Linked DNA regions of Danio rerio. The protein of the gene in region 1 purifies or fractionates together with the protein of each later gene. This does not show direct contact. Links are inferred from orthologs where the notes say so. Each region holds a gene or a part of one and is shown on either strand. Other genes may lie near its edges.

Region 1 (4,011 bases):
GTCCAAGATTGGCAACACTTTAAAATACCATAATAAATGTATTACTAACATGAACAAACAATTAGTAATACATTCAGTACTTATTCATCATTGTTAAAGTTAATAAAGTTAATTTAATTAAAGAGTGTTAGTTGATGTTAACTCAGTGCATTAACCAATGTTAACAAGACCAACTTCGGCTATTATTAATGCATTAGTAAATGTTGAACTAATGGTTAATAAATTATTTTCAAGATTACCCCTACTTAGTTCATGTTAGTAGATGCATGAACTGATGTAGCATTATTCTAAAGTGTTATTCCATGCTATTCTGATTTCTGTCACAAACAAACTCTCTTTACCCACATAGATCCACTCGGGACATTTATCTGACTGTTCTCTAAAATCCCTAGTCACGTTAAATCATCATGACCACATAGATTCCTAAACACATTTTATTGCTGACATGTGATTGGCTGATTGAATTTTAACATGACCAAATCATCATATTTTTATATGCATTATTTGCATTTCTATTTGCATTATTCTAGTCTTTTTTGTATTTGCATATTTTACCTTAATATTTATTTTCCATCACCACAGTATCAATAGAGCATAATACTCCAATTACCTTTAATAACTGCAAATCACATACTTTGAACACATTTTAATTGCATCACATTGAGGAAAGCTTCTTTGAAATGCTTCAAAACAATGACCAATACAATGAGGAAAAAATATATGCATAGCACACCAATTTACAGTAACAGATGTAGAGAGTTTGTTTTCTGTCTAATATTATCAAGTTTGAGAAAGACATTCAGGAACTTAAATATTAAAGTGACAGCATTTAAAAGGAAATTCATAATATATTGAATTTTTATATATGATATATATGATTGTTATATTAAACATATATTTTAAAATAATTATTAGTAGGAGCACTGACAAAAACTATTTCCTTGGGAATGGCAAAAAATACATCACAGAACATTGATTAAACACACATCATTATTTACTCCTCATAATATGCTTTTCAGTTTCAGCGAGATGGATGAGAATACCCAACTCCTTCATCTGCTCAGGCCAGACTGTGAGCCTGCATGGGTAGTAACAGGTTATCGGAAGTCCTCTGCAGAGAACATACCCTTGGCCCGTCGCAGGATGGAGTCTTTGGAGGCATCATATGGATGCTCTTTTGAGGGAATCTCTAGCACAGCCGGGATGGACTGCATGTGGGCATCAATGGCATGTCGAATCATCTCTGCGATGAACTGGTTGATAAGGATGATGCCAATGTCATTGCGAGCAAGGAAACTCCTGTTAGTCATAAACGACAGACATGCTGTAGTTAATGTTGACAGAAAAAAAATTGTACAATTACAAAAATCTACTATTCTCTGCATCTATTTGTTAATCCAAAAATTACAATTCAAAAGGTTATTGGGAAAAGTAATGTTTACTGTATATATTAATGCATAATATATGTGTTAGTAAGACATTTTTTTCTGTATGTCTACTAAGGTGTTATACATAATATAATTTTATTATTGTATTAAATGCATATACAGCGCATACTTTGATGTTTCAAATAACTCTTCTGAAAATTAAATGCAAGCATGGGTGAAATTATAATCAAAATCAGACATTATTGCATATTTATGTAAATACCAAACTACATATTGACTTGGACTTGTACTTATTCATATAGACCATTTCATTGTGGTGATGACATTGGCCTATGCTTGATATCAAAGAAACAATTGAATAATAACTTAATTCTAAAAAAGCTATCATAACATTATTTATCAATAAGCAGGCTCTTTTTAGATTCTCGTAAGCTATAAAAATTAAAAATGTAAAACAGAAAATACGTTGGAACATTTGTTTTTGTTTACATTCCTCAAAATGATCTATCGTCAGAATAAGAAGAGATCAGACAAACATGTTCTTATATTTAAATTATTCAAAATTGATCAGTAGTTTGAAGAATAGTGACAAAGGATATTTAAATGACAATTGTCAATAGGGGCTGCACTGTAATTCATAATATTAATAGTTTGATATGTCTTTAATAGTTTCTTGCAAATATGATTGACAGTTTACTGGTGTATATAAAATATTGTTAAACTAAAAGACATTTAAGTGGGTTTCTTGACAAATTTAGGTAATTATTACTACATAAAAATAATTTATATATAAATGTTTTTTCTAAAATATTTGGCTGATATGATAGATAGATAGATAGATAGATAGATAGATAGATAGATAGATAGATAGATAGATAGATAGATAGATAGATAAACATAAATATTTTTTTAAAAAGCAAGTCTTCATCCATATATTTGTAATGACACATATTTGATAATTAGATTGTAATATATGATGTTGAGTCATTCAGACATTTAGGATCGTGTCACTTACTTGAAGGTCTCCTCTATCTCTGTAACGCTGGTTTCCTTCTCCACCACCAAGAAATTGGGTTTACGGTTTTTATTGAGCTCTCCGATCCCTCCGAGGAGAAATCCGGTGCACGTGTCTTCATCACCGATAACTGCGATTAATTTTCCTCGTCCGGGCATCGTGACTTTGTCTTATATTTTGCTCAAATAAAAGACGCAGAATGGACGAAATGTTTTCCGTTCAGCAGGATCATATGCTTTAATCAGCTGACCACTTCACTTCCGCTTTGCGTAGTCGCGTAAGCGCCTTATTTAGCTGATCTGAGATCTGTGCTGCTCGCGTTAACGACCGACCTGTGTGCGGTGATTATGACAGCGAATCTGATCCTGATACAGATTATTTTTTGTTAAATGCGAGAACAGCGCATAAATCCTAGCAAATTAAATAAAAATCCGCCACGTTTTAGTCATACTAAGATTTTTTATCACATTTTGTACGTTTCCAATGCATATAAACAAAAATAATGTCGAATAAGCAAAACATCTCCTGGAATGACGTTATAAACACGCGACGCTTGATGTCAGTCACGTGAGGCGGGGTGTGAAGGAAAACAGCAGTGTACATTTATCTGCACTGTCTAAAATGGTAAATATAATTCTTACCTTTAAAATATTTGTTTAATTAAATGTTTTTTTTATTAAATGTTTTGTTTTAGTGCATTTAGAACTTATAAAACAAAGATTTTGTAAATAATGTGATTGATGATGCAGTCTAATATCATATGAGCTCTGTTAGTGTTTAATTACAGTATTATCGTGTGTTGAATGTCAGACTACTGCTTTGACTCAAGGCTTGGAGAGAATACCCGATCAACTTGGGTACTTGGTTATTAGTGAAGACGGAGTACTCGCGGTAAGCTGTTAAAATTCATAACTTACATTTTCGGAGAACTTGACATGAGGGTGAAATGCGTTGAAAAGAGAATCCTGATTTGGGCAAATGAGAAATAATTAATTAGAATTCAATGTCTGTCAGTCTTATTGTTCTGTCTGTCTCTGTTTGCCTGTCTACACTTTGAGGCAAAATTATTACGCCTCTACTGATACATATTATTTAAAAAAAAATTCCCAAGTTATGATGAACTGAGCAATGACATTTTCACAGTATTTTCTATAATATTTTTATTCTTGAGAAAATTTTTTATTTCTTTTATTTTGTCTGGAATAAAAGCAGTTTTTAAATAAAAAAATAACAATTTTAATAGGTTAATAGGCCCTTAGAACAAAATAATGGTATTCAATGACTTGCCTAGTTAAACTTATTAACCAAGTTAAGCCTTTAAGTTACTCATTAAGATGAATTCTAATATCTTGTAAAATAACTAGCAAAATATTATGCAGTGTTATCATGGCAAAGACAGATTCTGTTAAAAAATATATATATTACAACTATTATTTTTAAAAATGTGTTGAGAAATCTTCTTCCTTTTGAACAGCCTTCATGAAAATAAATTAAAAAAGGAAAATATTTATTTATTGCCAATAATTGTGCCTTTAACTGTATCTATCTATCTGTCTGTCTGTCTGTCTGTCTGTCTGTTGGACACACCTGGCTCAAGGGGTTATCTCT
Region 2 (4,329 bases), on another chromosome or scaffold:
ATAACAGCTAGGAAAATAATTACAGTGAACTGGATGAAGACCCGACAACCTACTTCAACAGAATGGACACAGAGGTTGAAACAGAAATATATATGTATTTGACAAAATGACTTGAAATCAAACTTTTTCCAATAGACCAGGGCATTATTTGAAACATACTTACTTGATCTTTGAAAGGCTGTCAGGGGTTTTGTCTTTGTCCTAGTTATTGCCTTTATATTGAAGTTTATTTATTTATTAACCCCCCCCCCCCCTCCCCCTCTTTTTTATTTTTAAGCTGTCAATATTATTTATCTATTATTATAATATTTATCAATTATTGTTTTCTTTCTATTTGTTTCTTTTTTGTGATTGTAAACATTCTAAGTAAATGTTATTTGTATACTATCTTTATAAAAACTTCAATAAAATAATAATAATAATAATAATAATAATAATTGTCCAAATTAAATTCTTAGCAATCCATGCTACAAATCAAAATTTTGTTTTGATATATTTAAAGTAGAACATTTATAAAATATTTTCATGGAACATGAGCTTTTACTTGTAAATGTATTTTTGGCTACTGTCAAAACTGTCACATTTTGTGGTCCAGGGTCACATATAGTACTTCATTGACATTCATTACAACACAACTTTCAAGTCATAAAAGTTCAAAAGTCTTGTTATAAGCCCCTGAAGCATTAGTATTGTATTTCTGATGAATATTTCAAAAAGTGCCCTATAAAGGGTTAAACTGCACACTACTTCTTCATTCTCAAATGCATGGTTTGCAATGCAGAGCATTTTGTTTGTTTGCAGGCATCATTAGTGTGGTTAGTGTTTTATTATGGTCATACCTCTTCACTGGGTGCGAGCTGTAAGACCACAGGCGTGCTGTCAGCAAACAGCGTGTGAATTGTATTCGCCACACTGTCCAGAGTGAACGGAACCGGCTGCAACATAAACAGATAGACAGGAAGATAAAAATTTAGACTGAACGGCAGACATTAAGAAAGATAGTTTCATTTTGGTCTTGCATCAAACCCAATTTAGAACCATGATTTAGTATATACAGAAGTAGTCTGTCAAATTGAATGCAAGTACAGTGTCCACTTCAATGTTTAAAATGAACATTTGTGAAAATAAAATATGGCTGAAATAATGTTCCATCTGGCGACGTGGTGGCGCAGTAGGTAGTGCTGTCGCCTCACAGCTAGAAGGTCGCTGCTTCGAGCCTCGGCTGGGTCAGTAGGAGTTTGTGTGTGGAGTTTGCATGTTCGCATGGGTTTCCTCCGAGTGCTCTGGTTTCCCTCACAGTCCAAGATAGATAAAAGCGTCTTATGTCTCATGATATAAAATGGGGAAGTCTGGAGGGGAAACTACACTGCTGCTCAATTCTAAAACTTACAAATATAGCTGATGAACATTGCTTCCCATTTTCCGGTTCTAAAGGGAGTTATTTATCTTTACTCAATAGTTTCTGGTAAACTGCAAAGTGAGTCAAAGATCAGTAAAAGGCCAGACAAAACAACGCACAACACACATCATAAAATAAATCCAGCATGTGAGAATGTGTCACCCACATTTTCGAGAGGGTAAGAGGACACGTTTTTTGGAAAGTCCAGGCTGTCGATGCCACGCACAACGATTAGAGCGTTAGCACGAGGACGCTGGAACAGTGAACCGGCAGCCAGACCTGGCCAATCGAGATCCTGCAAGATTTTAAAAAATCAAGTTTATCACAGTGTTTACATTAAGACATCATATGTGCTATTACAACAAATAAGAAAAATAAAAAAACAGACATAATACCTCACGAACAGAGAAGCCCATGGTCAGAGCAACTAAATCTGGGATCTTTTCACCCGATATGGGCCACTGCTCATCCCGAAAAGTCACATACTGAGGGCTTCGCAAAACTGTCAAACTGTCCCCCAAAACACCTGACAGAAAATTAAGAAATCAATTTTCACATATTTTCATAATCTTTATTGGAATTAAATGACAATCGCTTTGACATTTCTGTATCTAATGACCTCGCAATGACATTTTGTGTGTGTTTTAAGTACATTAAAACATCTGTATTCAAGCAGGACTTCATGAAAGTCAATATAAACAAATGAAAAATAATATTACAAAGCAAATAAGTAAAAAAGCAGTTGAAATTGTAAATTATATAAATCAGAAGAATCAAACATTACAGCACTATAATGCATAGAAATAGCTAAATAAACATTATTGAAACTAAATAGCCCACAAATATTTTAAATATATATTTTTTAATATAAATTATTCTGAGTTAGGTTTTAAAACACGCATTAATATCTGCAGTTTACATTTAGGAGGCACCGAAATTATCAGATTTGGGTGTCCAGTGTCATATAAACCACTGAAATCTAGTCTAGTATAAAAAACACAAATACATAAGCTTAATTTCTATCATAAGTATAATATTGATTAGAAATGTAGGATTTGTTAAATAAACCATGACTGTCACATGACCCGCTTGGGCTTCCTCATTCACGATCAACATTTAACACTAAACCCCTTTGTATTTAACAGCCGAGTGCAACATAAACACAATATCTTTCCAAATACTCTTGAATTAACAGGATAACATTGATAACGGAGATATTTAATCGAATGACATGACTGCGGATTATGGCATCCCACTGCAGCCGCCATTAATTCATTAAACACACGCTAAAACCCCCTGGACCCTATAAAACAAAACGACGTACACGTCAAAGACCAAATATAAAGTCAATTTACCTGATAAGAGTCCTATAAGGGCAAATACGGCGTTCATAATTATTCGATTCATCTCGGGACGATTTTCTGATGGACTGCGCTTCCTCGCAACACCAGTCACATGACCAGGGCCAGCCGCGTGACGTCGTGCGTCATGACGCAACAACATTTCCCTCAGTCTGCTTCGACTGCCACCGCGGGATTCAAACTTTACTTGAATTTACCGACATTTGTGTTCGTTAAAGTCAATATTCCGACCAATGTAGTTGGATAATGCTGATAATTTATATTGTTTACAGCGAAGAGACATTTAGAAGGGGAAAATTGTGTAAATGTAACAATTTTACGTAAAGTTACTAGACCTAAACTGGAATTATTAACAGCAGAGGCGTTTCTAGCCGTAAAGGATGTAAACAAGACCCTGTCTGTCTGTCTGTCTGTCTGTCTGTCTGTCTGTCTGTCTGTCTGTCTGTCTGTCTATCTATCTATCTATCCATATATCCATCCATCTGTCTGTAGGTTAGTGACCTTCAGGACATGTGACATGTCATCAACTATCTGCAAGGATTTTACACAGCATAAGGTTAGTATTATGCACAGTTTTCCCGTCTACAAGACTGCCTTGACCTTTCAGGTAACTTTTAAAATCGTAATTTGCAGTAATTGTATGTTTAATCAAATAATAGCATACTGCAGACCCCATTCCAAAGATTATATTTTGAAGGTACCCCAAAATCATAATTTCTGCTAATTATAAGGAAAAATTAAGTTTTACCCTCCACATATACAACGTTTGTCCAACAATTTATTTCAATATAGTTGTTGTCAATGTATTATTACTTCTAATCTAAGATTCAGTTAATAAATTGTTCTCTTTTTAATTTATTTTTTAAATGAATATATACACACAGTTGTAGTCAAAATTATTAAACCCCCTTTTGATATTTTTTTTTTAAATATTTCCCAAACGATGTTTAAAATAGATGTTTAAAACGATGTTTATTTTTTAAAAGCCATTTAAGGACAAAATTATTAGCCCCTTTTATCTATATATTTTTTTCGATAGTCTACAGAACAAACCATCGTTATACAATGACTTGCCTAATTACCCTAACCTGCCTAATTAACCTAGTTAAGCCTTTAAATATCACTTTAAGCTGTATAGAAGTGTCTTGAGAAATATCCATAAAATATTAATTACTGTCATCATGGCAAAGATAAGATAAGTCAGCTATTAGAAATGAGTTATTAAAATTATTATGTTTAGAAATGTGTTGAAAAAGTCTCTCCGTTAAATAGAAATTGGGGGAAAAAATATATAGCGTTGAAGTACTCCTGTTAATTTTTTCCCCCAATTTCTATGTAACGGAGAGATTTTTTCAACACATTTCTAAACATGTTGTATGATGATTGATATATATGTGTGTGTGTGTGTGTGTGTGTGTGTGTGTGTGTGTGTGTGTGTGTGTGTGTGTGTGTGTATATATATATATATATATATATATATATATTTTTTTTTTTTTTTTTTTTTGCTCTTGGAATATAGTATTTTTATTATAATGTTTAATTTATTTTTATTTATATTTACTTTATGTT

The links. The genes of interacting proteins can lie anywhere in the genome.
Region 2: the proteins of atp6v1f (region 1) and atp6ap2 purify together in Homo sapiens (affinity purification with mass spectrometry; 3 studies listed by BioGRID and IntAct, counting the BioPlex papers as one, with this or other methods). This does not show direct contact. The link is inferred for Danio rerio from reciprocal best matches to the Homo sapiens genes ATP6V1F and ATP6AP2.

What each region holds. Positions count from the first base shown.
Region 1 is NC_133179.1:20,642,958-20,646,968, forward strand, and holds atp6v1f (V-type proton ATPase subunit F), read right to left. Parts: upstream 2,666-4,011; 5' UTR 2,562-2,665; coding exon 2,404-2,561; intron 1,300-2,403; coding exon 1,098-1,299; 3' UTR 567-1,097; downstream 1-566. Other genes in the region: ragulator complex protein LAMTOR4, read left to right, coding at 3,025-3,027, 3,178-3,294. UniProt on the Homo sapiens protein: Subunit of the V1 complex of vacuolar(H+)-ATPase (V-ATPase), a multisubunit enzyme composed of a peripheral complex (V1) that hydrolyzes ATP and a membrane integral complex (V0) that translocates protons.
Region 2 is NC_133197.1:10,785,696-10,790,024, forward strand, and holds the start of atp6ap2 (renin receptor), read right to left. Parts: upstream 2,917-4,329; 5' UTR 2,903-2,916; coding exon 2,755-2,902; intron 1,926-2,754; coding exon 1,795-1,925; intron 1,695-1,794; coding exon 1,566-1,694; intron 936-1,565; coding exon 840-935; intron 1-839. UniProt on the Homo sapiens protein: Multifunctional protein which functions as a renin, prorenin cellular receptor and is involved in the assembly of the lysosomal proton-transporting V-type ATPase (V-ATPase) and the acidification of the endo-lysosomal system.